Struthio camelus: one gene and its partner. The protein of the gene in region 2 interacts with the protein of the main gene of each other region in a biochemical or structural test. Links are inferred from orthologs where the notes say so. Each region holds a gene or a part of one and is shown on either strand. Other genes may lie near its edges.

The links.
Region 1: the proteins of FOXA2 (region 2) and HOXA5 form a complex in vitro, tested with the Homo sapiens proteins (2 studies listed by BioGRID). The link is inferred for Struthio camelus from reciprocal best matches to the Homo sapiens genes FOXA2 and HOXA5.

Annotation. Positions count from the first base shown.
Region 1 is NC_090943.1:39,141,219-39,148,971, reverse strand, and holds HOXA5 (homeobox protein Hox-A5), read left to right. Parts: upstream 1-4,682; 5' UTR 4,683-4,815; coding exon 4,816-5,377; intron 5,378-6,315; coding exon 6,316-6,566; 3' UTR 6,567-7,365; downstream 7,366-7,753. Other genes in the region: HOXA6 (homeobox protein Hox-A6), read left to right, coding at 632-1,067, 2,407-2,666. UniProt on the Homo sapiens protein: Sequence-specific transcription factor which is part of a developmental regulatory system that provides cells with specific positional identities on the anterior-posterior axis. Also binds to its own promoter.
Region 2 is NC_090944.1:146,430,644-146,437,939, forward strand, and holds the start of FOXA2 (hepatocyte nuclear factor 3-beta), read right to left. Parts: upstream 3,099-7,296; 5' UTR 2,640-3,098; coding exon 2,553-2,639; intron 1,679-2,552; coding exon 416-1,678; 3' UTR 1-415. UniProt on the Homo sapiens protein: Transcription factor that is involved in embryonic development, establishment of tissue-specific gene expression and regulation of gene expression in differentiated tissues.

The DNA.
Region 1 (7,753 bases), on a different chromosome or scaffold from region 2:
CGGGGACCCACGGGCCGGCAGCGCCCAGCCAGCCCGGTGCCCCGCGCGGCGCTGCGCGGCGCTGCGCACCCCCCCGCCGCCGCCTTTTCACGTGCTGCCCCCGCTCCAAACTTTCCCTCCGCAGCATCCATCACCGCCTCCCTCCACCGGGGGCCGCCTCGGCCGCCCTGCCCACGGCGGCGGCGCGGTCCCGCGGGGGCGCCCTGCGCCTCCCCCTCCCCTTAGCGGGGTGCCAACTTTTAAGCGCTGCCCCCACCCCCGCAAGCCATCCCCGGAGGGGAGTGGGGCACTGCTAGGAATTATTATAATTATTCCCCCCCGCTTCGCACCCCCCGCCGGCCCGCCCGCAAGGCAGGGGGCGCGCGGCCCGGGCCGCGGGGCGGCGGGCGCGGGCGCGGGGCGGCGCGGCGGGGCCGGGGCTGCCGGTAAGTTGGCGGCGCGGTGGCGGCAGCCCCGGGGGAGCGGGCGCCGCGCGCGCTCCCATTGGCCGCCCCGCCGTCAGCTGCTCCTATTTTCTGCTGTCGCTTTTGGCGCTCGGCCATCCAGAAACAAACCACTTCGATGACTACTAATAGTTATAGCCAGATGTACTAATACACAACAAATCACGGTCCGGGAGAGGGGCGAGCAAATGAGTTCCTATTTTGTGAATCCCACTTTCCCTGGGAGCCTGCCCAGTGGCCAGGACTCTTTCCTCGGGCAGATCCCCCTTTATCCGGCGGGCTATGATGCTCTGAGGCATTTTCCGGCTTCTTACGGGGCAAGCAGCCTGCAGGACAAGACTTACACCTCACCTTGTTTTTACCAACAGTCCAACACCGTCATTGCTTGCAATCGGGCTTCCTATGAGTATGGAGCCTCTTGTTTTTATTCGGACAAGGAAATTAGTAGCGCCTCTCCCTCCGGCAGTGGCAAACAGAGGGGGCACGGGGACTATCTGCACTTTTCTCCCGATCAACAATACAAATCGAGCAGCGTGCAAACCAAAATTGTAAATGACGAAGGCACCGACCGGAAGTACACGAGTCCTGTTTACCCCTGGATGCAGCGGATGAACTCCTGTGCTGGTAAGTCATTTGAATGAAATCGAGGGGGGAGGAAAAGTTTCTTTCCCCAAGATTTTTTTTTTTTTTCCTTAGATAAAGTCCAGACTGCTGGAGAGAAATGGCTCCTGCAGGGCAATGTGTAACATGAAACCTTCCCAGGTTATTTTAGACCTGGCACATTGGCACCCTGGGAGCAGCGGCCGAGAGCCCGGCTCGTGGGTTATCTGGTAAAACTTACTGAGGGATCCTTAGGAAGCAGCGGGAAAAAAAAAAAGGAAAAAAAAAGAAAAGAAAAGCAAGGAAGGAGCAAGGCTGTTTCACCACTCTCCTTAACCCAGCCTAAAGCCCCTGCTTCGCTCCTGCATTGTCAGAGAGCGCTGTAAGGAATATGCCCTCTGCGCTGAGGCTCCCATGCAGTGGTGGCACATTCCTCACGGCCCCCCTCCCCCAGCTCATTAGCGTGTCAGTATTGGATATTGAGAGCACGTTTCTGGGGCCGTGTGCGCACTTCCACGGCACCGCGCATTTCCCCTGGCTTCCCAGTGAACCTCACGCAGTGGAACTATTCTGCCTGGGAGGGGTGCTGGGGGCTGGGGGGGCGGCTGGCATTGTCCTGGAGCGGCACTTATTTTTAATAATCCCGTTAACACGTTCACTTCCAGTGTTTGCTAGTAACTCCCCTACCCTGCCCTCCTCCAGGGTTTCTGTTTGCTGGACTCTGGGTTGTGCTTCTTTTGGGGAAAGTTTAACTTTTAGCAAGACCATTCGGATGTTGCTTTGCATTTCAGTGCAATAAATTCCGGAGCAAATGGCAAAGGCTGTTCTATGATCTTAAGCTGATGTCTATAATTATACCTAAATTGCAGAGCCTCTATAATCACAGCCATGGCAATAGAAGGTGTTTGTGTAAACACGCACATCCACATGTATGCGCGCACGCACACACACGCACACACACATGCGTGCGACTCCCTGGGTCGCACACACGTGTGTGCGTGTGTGTGTGTGCGTGTGTGTGTGTGTGTGCGTGTGTGCGTGCGCACACAGGCTCTCGACGTGCAGAGTGTAGGCACTGCTCAGCGATTTATGAGGCTGTTACCCACTTCACTTTTCCTAGGTCCAGCTTACAGGCTCTTTGTATCAGAGTTACCCCATCGACCCTAAGCACGATGCACACCCGTATTTACAGCTCTTCAGGCAGGAGAAAAGGGGGGAAATAAGCCTTCAGAAAACCAGAGCACCCCACCACCACCGCGTGTGATAGTGCCTGCGAAAGGAGGCAGAATATACTAACCACTCTTTCTGATCTGAAAATCCCTGGGCCCTGTCCAATGCGATCATTTTGTCTTTACTTCTACAGGTACAGTATATGGATCTCACGGGAGACGAGGGAGGCAAACTTACACCAGATACCAAACGCTAGAGTTAGAGAAGGAATTTCATTTTAACAGATACTTAACCAGAAGACGACGTATTGAGATTGCAAACGCTCTCTGCCTTACTGAACGCCAGATTAAAATATGGTTTCAAAACAGGCGGATGAAATGGAAAAAGGAAAACAAATTCATAAATTCCGCACAGCCCAGCAGCGAAGAAACAGAGGAAAAGTCAGGGGAGTAGAATCATATTTAATAAACGCTACCAGGCCTTTCCTTAGCGCTTACTATTCTCACTATTATGTACCTTGTGTTCCTTCGGCTACTAAAATCCTATAGGTTTGTCACAGTCTATTAATTCCCCAAAGGCTTGGCTAAAAGATATACATTTACAGTCAACTGTGACTTTCTTTAATATATGTAGAAGTCTAAGCTTTCGAGCTGTGTCGTGTATATATATAACCACCTTCCCAAAGCATAGATGGCTTTGCTTAAAGTATTTGAGAAATGGCTCAGATTTTTAAATATTTGAAGTGAGCATCTGTGTGCGGGTGAGTGTCCATGGCATGTCTGTGTGAGAACAGATAAGGGAGTGATTTTGTTGTTGTTTGTTTTTTAATTAGGAATGTTCATATTGTAGAAATACGAGAAATTTTAGAAAATCTTGGTTTTACATTTTCACTAATTCCGGCTATGCCGGGCCGTCTCGTGTTGTGTTTGGGAGCTTATAGTTTGTAGGGGGAAAAAAAAAGTTTTACACATGTATAAGCATTTAAATCGCAAAAAGAAGAAAATTTCTTTAAAAAAATCGTTATATAAAAATATGAGTATGAACTTGCAGTTAAAGCAAAGGTGAATCGCAGGGAGATTTTTAAATGCCGCTAAACTGTCTAATCTGCACTACGAGTATTAAAGTAAAAACTCGCGGTTAAACTTTAGGACAAGCGAGGGAAGAGGTTTTAAGGCGGGCGAACTTCTGTGGTTCCCGTTGAGCTAACACTGAGATTTCGGTGAACTCAGCTTTACACGGAGAGGGCTCTGAATTATAGACTACATTTCGTGGAGATTCATGGGCTTGGTTATTTCTTTAATTCTTTCTTTCTTTCTTTTGGTTTTTATTTATTTATTTTTATTAAAAGTAAAGTAACTGTCATATTGACTCGGGAATGTTCTTCCCCGCTTTTGTGGTATCTCAATTCACATTCGCATTTCCTAGTACTGAAAAAAATATATATATAGCTATAGACACTCTAAAGAACAGCAGCTGCGATAAAATCCTTCCATTTCGAGTTCTCTTTAAGTAAAATGAGCGCAGAGAAAATATTGTCTAATATATGCATTATATATATTGTGAGTGTGTGAGTGTGCGTGTGAAGCTGTGTACAAATATACGTGTATACGCATCAAGGCTCTTTTGTTCGAAAGGAAGCATAATTTGGGCAACCGCTCTGAACATTTTAAAAGCCACATCGCGAAAATATTAGTGCAAAATGGCTACCATCGCATTTGTATTTTTTTCTGGGAGGCGTAAAAACAACGCTGACCATAAAGCCGTCTGGAATTTGACCCCCTAGCCAGAAAAATGCTGCACAATATTTATCTTTCATAGGTACCTGCCATTTCAGATCGGCAGAACCCGACTGCCTCTCGAAAGCTCTCGCACGGGGGGGGGGGGGGGAAGCGGGGGGGAAGGGACATAAGCGTTGCCAGCAACCGAGGATTTATTATATAGTGTTGCTGAACTGGTGTAAATAAGCCGCTCGCGGAAGAGAAAATACAAACGCAGCGGCGTGATTTCTGCGCTCCAGAGTCCCCAGCAGCCCGGGGGAGGGCGCGGGCGGGAGCCGCCGGCCGCGGAGGCCGCCGCGGGGGAGAGCGGGCCGCGGCCCCGCCGCCGCCGCGGCCCCGCGCCCGCCGCCGGGCCCCGCCGCCGCCATGCTCCGCCATGCGCCGCGCCGCGCCGCGGGCCGCCCGCGCGGAGCCCCGCGGAGCCGAGCGGAGGCGGGCGGCCGCGCCGCCGTCGGGGGCTCTCACCCCGGCCCGACCCCGCGGCCGCGCCTTCCCCCGCGCCGCCAGCGGGTGGCGCTCGAGGCCGGCGGACGGGCGGGCGGCGGCGGCGGCGGCGCGCCGCGGCGGCGCGCCCCGGGCCGCCCGCGCCCTCCCAGCTCCCCCACCAGTGCACGAGTTTACCTCTAGAGGTCATCAGGCAGGATTTACGACTGGACAACAAAAGCACGTGATTTGAAGCCGTACCCCATATTTGGGTGCCTACGTAGGAGGGAACCAAGTACATGTCCCAGTCATTTCCATAATTCATCATAAATTGTGCAAGGGTGCTATAGACGCACAAAACGACCAAGAGCCACAAATCAAGCACACATATCAAAAAACAAATGAGCTCTTATTTTGTAAACTCATTTTGCGGTCGCTATCCAAATGGCCCGGACTACCAGTTACATAATTATGGAGATCACAGCTCGGTGAGCGAGCAATACAGGGACTCCGGCAGCATGCATTCCGGCAGGTACGGATACGGCTACAATGGCATGGACCTCAGCGTCGGGCGCTCTGCTTCCACCCACTTTGGTGCCAATGAGAGATCCCGCAGTTACCCGGCCAACACCACCTCTGCCTCGACAGAGCCCAGGTACAACCAGCCCGCGACGTCTTCCCACTCGCCGCCACCTGACCCTCTGCCCTGCACCGCCGTGGCCGGTTCGCCTGTCAGCGAGAGTCACCACGGGGTGAAAAACTCCCTCGCCAACTCCACCAGCACTTCGTCCAATTCCAGCAGCAACACGCACATAAGCAGAGACGGGGTTGGCACCTCGTCTGGGACTGAGGAAGACACTCCAGCAAGCAGCGAGCAGGCAAGTGCCCCGACCGACCAAAGCACAGCCCAGCCTTCACAGCCCCAGATCTACCCTTGGATGCGAAAACTGCACATAAGTCATGGTAAAGCAAATACCCTGTTCTTTCTTTATTTCTCTGGAGGAAAAGGAGGATTTAATGTAAACCGGGTGTCTGCGCTAAGCGAGGTCGGGGAGAGGGGGAGAGGAGGGCGTGAGAGCGTGCAGCCTCCGCACACAACTCTGCTCGCAGGGAAGCCAGGTCCGTTGTCTGGGCAAGTGTCCCCCTCCCCCAAATAAAAATGCCCAGCCCCAAAAATACAGCCTGCCTCGCTCCCGTTGCCAGCCCTGGCTCGTGCAGGGACCGGGAGAGCAGCAACCGCCTTAGCGAGGGGGATCGTGAGCAGAGGCTGCTCCTGGGTCTCCTTTTTAAGGGGGATCCTCCAGTGGGAACAGCGCTGCTGACCCCATTTATTTTTCCGAGCCATACTTAAAAAGAGAATAGGAGAGGGCGAAGAGGGCAGTTTTCCTTGCTGGGAAGCCCTGGGGGAGGGGAGCAGCAGCCCCAAACTCCGGGTGAGGGGCGCGGGGGAGCCGAGCAACTTTCCGACCTGGCTACCTGCCGCGCCCCCGCCGCCGGGGGAGCAGCCGGGGGCTCGCTGCCTCCCACAGCCTTCTCCAGCTCAGCCGTGGGAAAGGGCTGCCCGCCTCTGCTTTGCTCTCCCAGCCCTGGAAACCCATCTCTAGCAGCAGAGGCATCCCCAAACCAGCTTCGCTAGGGGAGGCATGTGGAGATTATTCTCAAAAAAAAAAAAAAAATCGAAATCAAAATCCAAGCGAAAACTTACCACGACCACTAAACCCCCCTCCCCCAATCCTTTGCTAAAAGGGGCTGGAGGGGGGAAACTTGTTGAGCATTTACCCAAACGAGCACAAAACCCAAGCTGGACTGAGAATAACGGTCCTGGTTGCTCGTAGCTGCAATAAGACCTGAGGGCTCCAAGTTGCTGCTGAGAATCTAAATCATGTACTTTTCTCTTCCAGACAACATAGGGGGACCAGAAGGGAAAAGGGCTCGGACTGCTTACACCCGATATCAGACCTTGGAGCTGGAAAAGGAATTTCACTTCAATAGATACCTGACCCGCAGAAGAAGGATTGAAATAGCACATGCTCTTTGCCTCTCAGAGAGACAAATAAAGATCTGGTTCCAAAACAGGAGAATGAAATGGAAAAAGGATAATAAGCTGAAAAGTATGAGCATGGCAGCTGCAGGAGGGGCATTCCGTCCCTAAGCATTTGATCAATTAAAAGTACTGAGCAGTATTAGCTGACCCTGCGTCTCATGTCAGTACTAAGTTGACTTTCTAAAACTTCCTTGTGTTACTTCTGTGAAGAAACCCTGTTCTTGTCGCCCTTATTCATCTTTTAATCATGAGCCTGTTTATTACCATTCTCTCGCGTGTATAAGTAGATCTGCTTTTATCGTACATTTCTTTGTCTTGAATGGCTTTGTCTTGAAAAAATAATAGATGTTTTAACTTATTTATATGAAGCGAGCTGTGTTACTTGAAGTAACTGTTAAAAAGCAAAACAAAAAAGAACAAAAAAAGAGAGAAAAAAAGAGAGAGAGAGAGAAAGAAACCCTCCCCGGTTTAGTACAAATGTTGTGTTGCACTCAACCTGCTTAACTGTGCATGTGTGGTCAAGTGTTAATGTCTGTATAGCTCCAAGCTGTTAAAAATATTTTTATTCAAACTACCTATACAATTCCTGTGTAATTAATGCTGTTGTAGAGGTGAAATGATGAAATCAACTGAACTTGTCCTACGTGTAGTGAATAGTGAATCTGTGACGAAAACTGTGATTCCAAGCAGTATGTCCTTGCTGTGCCTTTGTATATGACTCTTTGCACGAACTCTTAGAAGTGGCTCTTATTAAGCGCAGCTTCTGTGATGTATGTTTTTTGTGAACAAAGTTACAAATATAGTCAAAGTCTGGCTGTTTGAGCAAACTGTGATCAGCTTTTTTTTTTTGTATTTGTTTTTAAAAAAAACTGACTGGAAATCAACAAAAAAATAAACTTTCTATTGTAAATTTTTCGTGATCTGGTTTGTGCAAAGCAAGGAATTGTGCTTCCTGATTTGCCTTTTAAAAATATTAATCCGTGCAGAGTTTGTAGTAATATTTTACCTGGCTCACGCTGCACGTTGCCTGTGATAGAGCTGCAATTGTCCGCTACCAGTATTTTTAATTGAAAGTTTCTCCTTAAGTTCCTCTTTAATGGTTTCTCGTTAGGTGGAAAGCTGCATTGCATGACCACAATCAACACCCTTTGTGGGTGAATCAACTGTTAGCTATTTGCTGATGGTTAAAAAAAAAAAAAAGTGCTTTGTTAAAACACACTGCTAACTCCAAGATGTGTTTGAATCGCTCTAGAATTTCTCCTGTGGTTTCATTAAGTATATTTGCAGGACAGCCA
Region 2 (7,296 bases):
AAAAATAGATATATTTATACCTCCCTGCAACGACAACAACGAAAAAAAAAATAACCCCAACAAAAAAAAACTCTCCCCGTCCCCTCACCCCCAACCCACCCCTCCCCACCAAAACAAACCACCCCACAAAGTAAACCAAGGGAATCACGGTCCCCCGGGACATGGGTGGCTTTTGGCCGGCGGGGACCAACACGCCTGCCTTTGGCGTGGGTCGAGATGCTTGCATGACACACATCAGTTGTTTCCCAAACAGATGCAAACATCTGGAGCCAACCAAAAAAAAATAGATAGATATATATGTATATGCACCGTGCTCAACAGCGTTCATAGTCCATCCCTCTGCTAGGGGACTGCGCAGGGGCTGGGGTGGGGTGGTTTTTCTCCCCTTGTGAGGGGAGGTTTTTCCCTTGCCCCTTTAGGAGGAGTTCATGATGGGCCGGGAATACACACCTTGGTAATAAGAAGTCTCTCCGGCTAAAGGGGAGGACTCTAAGCCATTTTTGTTCGTTACAGGTCCCATGGCCAGGCTGCCAGGCATGGGTGAGGCGTAGCCCGAGTAGTGCATCACCTGCTCGTAGGCCTTGAGGTCCATTTTGTGGTGGTGGTGGTGGTGGTGGTGAGGGTGGTGATGCTGCTGCTCAGAGGAGGACATCAGGTTGTTGATGGAAAAGGGGTGGTTGAAGGCGTAGTGGTGCTCAGGCTTGAGATGGGCATCATGGGGCAGGCCAGCGTGTTGGGGGGCCAGGAGGTGCTGCCCTGGAGAGGCTGCTGGCTCCCCGGGGCTCAGCCCTGTCGTGCCCTTCAAGTCAGCCAGGGCACGCTTGTGGTCCTGGCACGGCGAGCTGCTGGCAGGGGACTCAGCACCAGCTGAGCCCTCAGAGCCGCCTGAGGAGCTGCCTTCCCCCAACGGCTGGCTGGGTGGCTGCCCGGGCCCCTTCTTGCCCCCGCCGCCTGCTCCGCCACTTGCCCCACCGCTGTCCTTGGCGGCCAGCTGCTTCTCACACTTGAAGCGCTTCTGGCGGCGCAGGTAGCAGCCGTTCTCAAACATGTTGCCTGAGTCAGGGTGCAGTGTCCAGAAGGAGCCTTTACCTGGCTTATCTGGGGAGCGGGGCACCTTGAGGAAGCAGTCATTGAAGGAGAGCGAGTGGCGGATGCTGTTCTGCCAGCGTTGCTGGTTCTGACGGTAGAAGGGGAAGAGGTCCATGATCCACTGGTAGATCTCGCTCAGCGTTAGCATTTTGTTGGGTGACTGCTGGATGGCCATGGTGATGAGGGAGATGTAGGAGTAGGGCGGCTTGGCATGCGTGTAGCTCCGCCGGTAGGTCTTCGGGTCCCGAGAGCGGTTAAGGTTGGACTGCCCGTAGATGGGGCTCATAGAGTTCATGTTGGTGTAAGGGGCCAGGGCGTTCATGGAGCCGGCTTGGCCCCCCATGGGGCTCATGCTGGGGCTCAGGTGGGTGCCCATTCCTGCCACACCGGCCGAGCCCATGCCAGGCATGGCGCCCGTGCCCGGGGACATGCCAGTGAGCGAGGGGCTCATGCCCGTGTTGGCGTAGGACATGTTCATGGAGGTGGCAGCCGTCATGTTGGCCGTGGTGCTCATGGCCGACATGGTCATGTACGTGTTCATGCTGTTCATGCCCAGCCCCGCGTTCATGTTGCTCACCGAGGAGTAGCTCTACAAGGGCAAATGAGAGAGAGGAAGATTTGGGGGGGATGGGGAACAGGTAGACTTGTAACCCTGCCAGGGGCGATGGCAGCCCCCCCAAGCACAGAAACGGTACGGGGAGACCCCCGCCCCAACCCAGATCGCCGCTTGCACACGAGCTTTTGCAGCCCCGGAGCACCTTGCCCGGCGAGGTGGGAAGGGTTAAAGCTCCTGCGTGTTGAAACGCTCGTTAATGAAAAAAATTAAAAAAAAAAAAAACAAACACGCACACAAAAACAAAAACAAAAAAAAAGAAAGAGATTGCAACAAGATCGATAGACCTGTCCCTGGAAACGAGCCTCGGAGTTGGAAGGAAAAGGAAGGGATATCCCTGCCCGAAGCGACAAAAAATACCCGGCGGGGAGAGGAGGGAAGGGAGGAAGAGCAAAAAGCGACATGCAGCCCTGAACGCGCTAACTTTTGCCTCCCCGAGACGCACCCGCGCCCTGCTCGCCTCTCCGGGGAGGGGGGGGGGGACGCTCACGACACACCCTCCCAAAATACCCCCCCCCGCCCGCCAACCTTTGCACCACGATGTTTTCCCTCCTACCCCTACCTTCCCCAGCCCCCCCCCCCCCCCCCCCCCCCCCGCCGGCGCCCGCTGCCCAGCGCCGAGCACAGCCCTGGCCGGCGTGCGTGCGGCTGCGGGCAGGCAGAGGATCCGGAGCTTCCTCAAGTCAATATTTGATGACCGAGTTAATATTATCCCAGGGCTAACACGGGTGCAGCGGAGGGACGTGTCCCGGGAGGGGAGCGGGCCGGGCCGGGCCGGGCCGGGCAGGGGCCGGGGAGGCGGGCGGGGGCCGGCGGGACAGACGCCCGCCAGCGCCGGCTTTCTCCTTACCTCGGGCTCCCCGTAGTAGTTGCTCCAGTCCGTGTGCTCATGGCCTTCCATTTTCACCGCTCCCAGCATACTGGAAGTGGAGTGCATGGCAGTTTAAAATTTAACAGCCACAACAAACGACGACAGAGAGCAACCCAAAAAAAAAAAAAAAAGTCCCCAGCCCTCCCTCCCCTCTGTTGCGCTCCCTCTGCCTGAGCCTCTGGAGGAGGAGGAAGAGGAGGGAGGGAGGAAGGGAGGGGGGGGGATCGAGCTGCTCTGGGGCTGGGGTTTTTTCCCTGCTGCTGCTTGGGTGGGTTTTCTCAGCGTTTCGCGGCGAAGAGTCGCCCGGAGGCGATGGAGGAGCCGGAGGAGGAGGAGGGAGGAGGGAGGAAGAAGAGGAGGAGGAGGAAGAGGAGGACAAGTGCTGCAGTGACGTGGGTGCCCGAGTGATATAGCACGGAGCCGCCGGGCGAGCCTCCAATCCCCAGGTCCTCGGCTGCCCATTTGAATAATCAGCTCACACCTAGGCGGGAGAGGCTCCTCCGCGGCCCCCCGAGCACCTCTCCGCGCCCCGCCGCCGAGGCCGGGGGGCCCAGCGGCACCGCTGGGGCAGCGGGCCGACCCCTAGGTCGTCTCCCCCCTCTTCGCCCCCCTCCCCGCCCCGGCACCCGCGCTTCTCCCCGCTCCGTAGGGGGAATCCTGCGGGAGCCGATTTCCAGCCTTCCCCGCCGCCCCCGGCAGCCCCGACGGCAGCTTCTTCCCAGTATCCCCCCCCCCACCCGCCCCGCCTGCCCAGCCTCCCCCCCCCCCAGCCCCACGCACCTTTTGCTCCCCGCAGCTGCTCGGAGGAGGCCCCCCCGGGGCCCGGGCTCCCCGCCCCGACGGCTCAGGCCGCCTGCCGGCCGGCGGCGCCCGGGCTCTGCCCCATCTCCGGGCTCGGCCCGACGTGCGGGGAGAGGCGCCCGCGGCCGGCAGCCGCCGTTTAGGCTCCGCCGCGCCGCGCAGCCCGGCCCAAGGTTGCTGGCTCAGGTACCTACAACAATTTCGTAACTAAAACAAACAGGGAGGGGAGGCGGGGTGGGGGGACGGCAGGGTGCAGGCAAAGCGCCGTCGCGGGGCCGGGTGCCTCCTTTGCGCGGGCGGTCGGCGCCGCCGCGGAGCCCCCGGGCCGTGCGGGGTCCCGGCGGCCGGGGGCAGCGCCGCCGCCGCGGGTCCCGCCGCTCCTGCCGCCGGGCTGCGGCACAGCCGGGGCTCCCCAGGCAGCCGCGGCCGGCGGGAAGGAAGGAGGGATGATCACTGGCGAGGAAACCAAAAAAAAAAAAACAAAAACAAAAACAAAAACCCCAAAAAACAAAGCAAAACAACAACAGCAACAACAACAAAAAAAAATCAGCCCGCTTCAAAACCCGCTCGGCTCCTGGCTCCCTGCGGCAGCCCGCTGCTCCGCCAGCGGCTACCTCCCTCTGTGCTGCCGGGCACGTTTGCTCCTGGCGATGTCCACCAAGTGGAGAATGATTTAATGCGATGGTCCAGTAGGGACTGAGCGGATCCTTCCCTGGGAAAGAGGAAACGGAGGAAAGAGGAAAAACCACCGTCTGGTGGCCAAACACCTCCCAGCCCTCGGGCGATTCCTCCTCCAGCAGCATCCTGCAGCTGTCATTGCAAAGTGTAAATCTGCCTGCCCAAAAGACTCTAAAATACACCTTACTGCCTTGATTTCTCCTGTATATTTTTTTTTCTACACGCAATCGGCTTCATATTTCTATTTCTGTATCTAGCTATATCTGTCTTCAAAACACATGGAAAAATATAAATCACTGACCTTCTTTTAATATTTTTTTTTTCCTCCCGAACGGAAAAATGCATCAATCAGCGAAGGTTAGCAATAGTTTCTAAATATCAATACAAACCCAACAGAGAACAGGATTTCATTTAACCAAGGGAAACTCAGACTAAGAGGAAGTCTTTAAAAAGACTTTTCCCAAGACTCCGGCGCCTTCAGGAGCCGCTTCCAAACGAAAAAAAAAACATCAGCTCGGGGAGGGCATGCTCTTATCGCGATAGCTACCGCGATATTCAGGCCAGCTACCTGGCAGATCCGCCTCCTGTCACCACAACCCTTTTCTGCCCATACTTGGCGGGGGGGGGGGGGATCGATTAGCTGTTTTTTGGCTCCAGACTGAGAACGCAACCCAAGGATGCGCCTCTGCCCACCGAGGGAATCGCTTGGCAAGACGCTGAGACAACGGGGAAATAGTATTTTACACCAAAAAGTGAGAGGAGTGATGCTGCCCGGGTGTCCCTCTGGCTGGAAACGGACTGTCCCTTGTGTCCTGCAGGTTAAAAATGGTGGCGGCGCGCCCCCTGTCGCTTGCTGTCCCCAATTTTGGAGGGCTTCGCGGGAGGGGGGGGGACACACATCCCAAATCCCTCCGGCGAGATGCCGTGACCCCCTTCTTCTGGGGCCCTTCAGAAGGGCACCTGCAACTGTTGCCTTTCATTTACGGAGGGCCGGAGAAATCTTGTCACAGCTTCCTAGTCAAGGGGGTTTATCTGCCTCTCCCTGGGTGGCCTTCAGCCCCTCCTTCTTCTCTGCAGACGTGCAAGCGTTCCTATGATTTTTTTTTAAGCCTTCCAATTCGGCACCTACCGCGCCCCTTGCAGAGGGCTGTGCATCATTCGCGTGCGCGAAGAGACCGAACTGGCTGTTGAGGCTGCCTGACACACTGAGACAACGCAACGGTGGCCAAAGGATAGGAGCTGCTTGTTTGTTTGTTTTTCTTTTCATACAACGCAACTACATGGTCCGGGCACGCTGCTGCAGGATTTTCTGGGGGCCAACAGGGTAAATGGGTTCAAAAAGGGCATAGGTGAATTCGTACAGGGTAGGTCTCCTAGTCACAGTGTCCCAGCGAATGCCTTCTCCACTCCTCTCCAGAAGAGAGAAGAGTTTTTCCCAGGGAAGGAATACTCTGCATGTGCCCTGTGTCTTACTTTCATCCATTAATCACCTGCTGTGGGTCCCTGTCCGAAACAAGGTCCTGGGCTAGATTCATCTGACTTTGTGTAGTCTCTCTTACATCCCTCTCCACCCCTAAGTTCTGCATTTCTCTCCAGTTGTCCTTGTCTCCCTGGCTATGGACAGAGCCCAGGCTGATTTTATTCCTGATTTAGGCACCTTAGCTTTATGCCTAACAGTAAGTGTGAACTTGTGCCTAAGCCTCTACCTTCAGGATGGGTCGGGATACAGAGACTATTATCTCAAATCCTATGCATTTTAACAGGGCTTTTTGTTCCTTTGGAATATCCCATAGCAGAGTGAAAAGACTTAGAAAGGGAGAATTCAGTAAAATTAGCAAAGTTTCTTCCAGATACTGCTAATACCATTAGTTCAAAGATCCTATCCAGTCAGCTTCTCATTTGCAGTTAACTTCAGTCATTTAGGGCAACCTGTGGTTAGTTTTAGCATCATTTTTTCCCCTGCGGACACAAAGTGCAGGATGTGAGCATGTATTTTCAACGTTGCTGGATTTAACAGTGAAATTCCTATTGAATTCCATGGGAAGAGGAGAGAGGCCATACGGAGAATTTCCTAGTGCCAATAAACTCACCTGCCTTCAGGCCTTGACCCTGCATAGGCACAGATGTGAACATACTCTAAGTCTGTCACCTCACCAGGAACAGTCACAGGAGGCAAATGCACATACAAAGCTTTGCAGGCTCAAGAATTACTAGTCCAAGTCTCTCACTAACCACTACTTCGTATTAAGTGTGGTTTCCCTTCTGGTTAGCAGGACTTTGAATTTTTCTGCCACAAAAGATGATTTTTTTCTACCTCCAGTCACCTTCCCATGCACGGACATTTTGCAAAGTGACAAAGGGGAATTACTTTCACAAGAGTCCTGAACTGTTCATTCAAATTTTTGCCTAAGATAATCTACTTTCAGGCTGCGCCTGGGCTATAGTGGATGTTCCCACTGCTGTTGCTCCAGTCCTGTCACTTAAATCAAGCTTTTCCTTCTTGGTCTTATTATTCTTGGGTTATTACATGAAGCACCTCCCATGAAGGTGCTTCATGGACTTTCCCCACTATCCAAATCTCTCTCATTCTTCCTCATGTTAAAGATCACTTACTTGGTCCTGAAACCTTTATAAGCAAAAGAAGTTGCCTGCAACATGAATGACCTTTCAGTGCAGTGTGAGATGTGGAGAGGCTCTCGGAAGCCCTCCTGCTTCCCCTCACACAGAGCTTAGCAGCAGCCTGCTCCACTACTAAACCTGGTCATGGGCTGCCTTCTGATGTTTATACATGGAAATCATAAATTCAGAAGAAAACTACTTTTTCTGTCCTAAAGATCCTTCTCTCTCTACCAAGATTTTGTGGTTCATTGCTTGGTTGCAGCAGGCAATTTCAAGAGCCATCGCAGCCTGAGTTCTGCACCCCCTGCAGATCGGCATGGAGGTCTGCTTAAAAGTCATGATCCAATTCATCCCAAGAGCATCAGCAACCGATGCTTTGAAGAGAGGATCAAGTAGATCCCTGTAGGTTCTCATACTGCACACTCTGCAGAGTGGACTCACTCAGGACCAGAGAAAGGATCAACTAAGTGTGCTGGGTGGAAGACAAATGCACCAGGAACTTTCAGAGGCCTTTTTCCTCCTTATGCAAGCTCCTCTTTCAGCAGCCCAGGGGACTTCTGACTGTTAATCTCTGTTTTCTTTTCCCTGTTTTGCATAGAGGGTTGCTGAGGTCCACATCAACGGA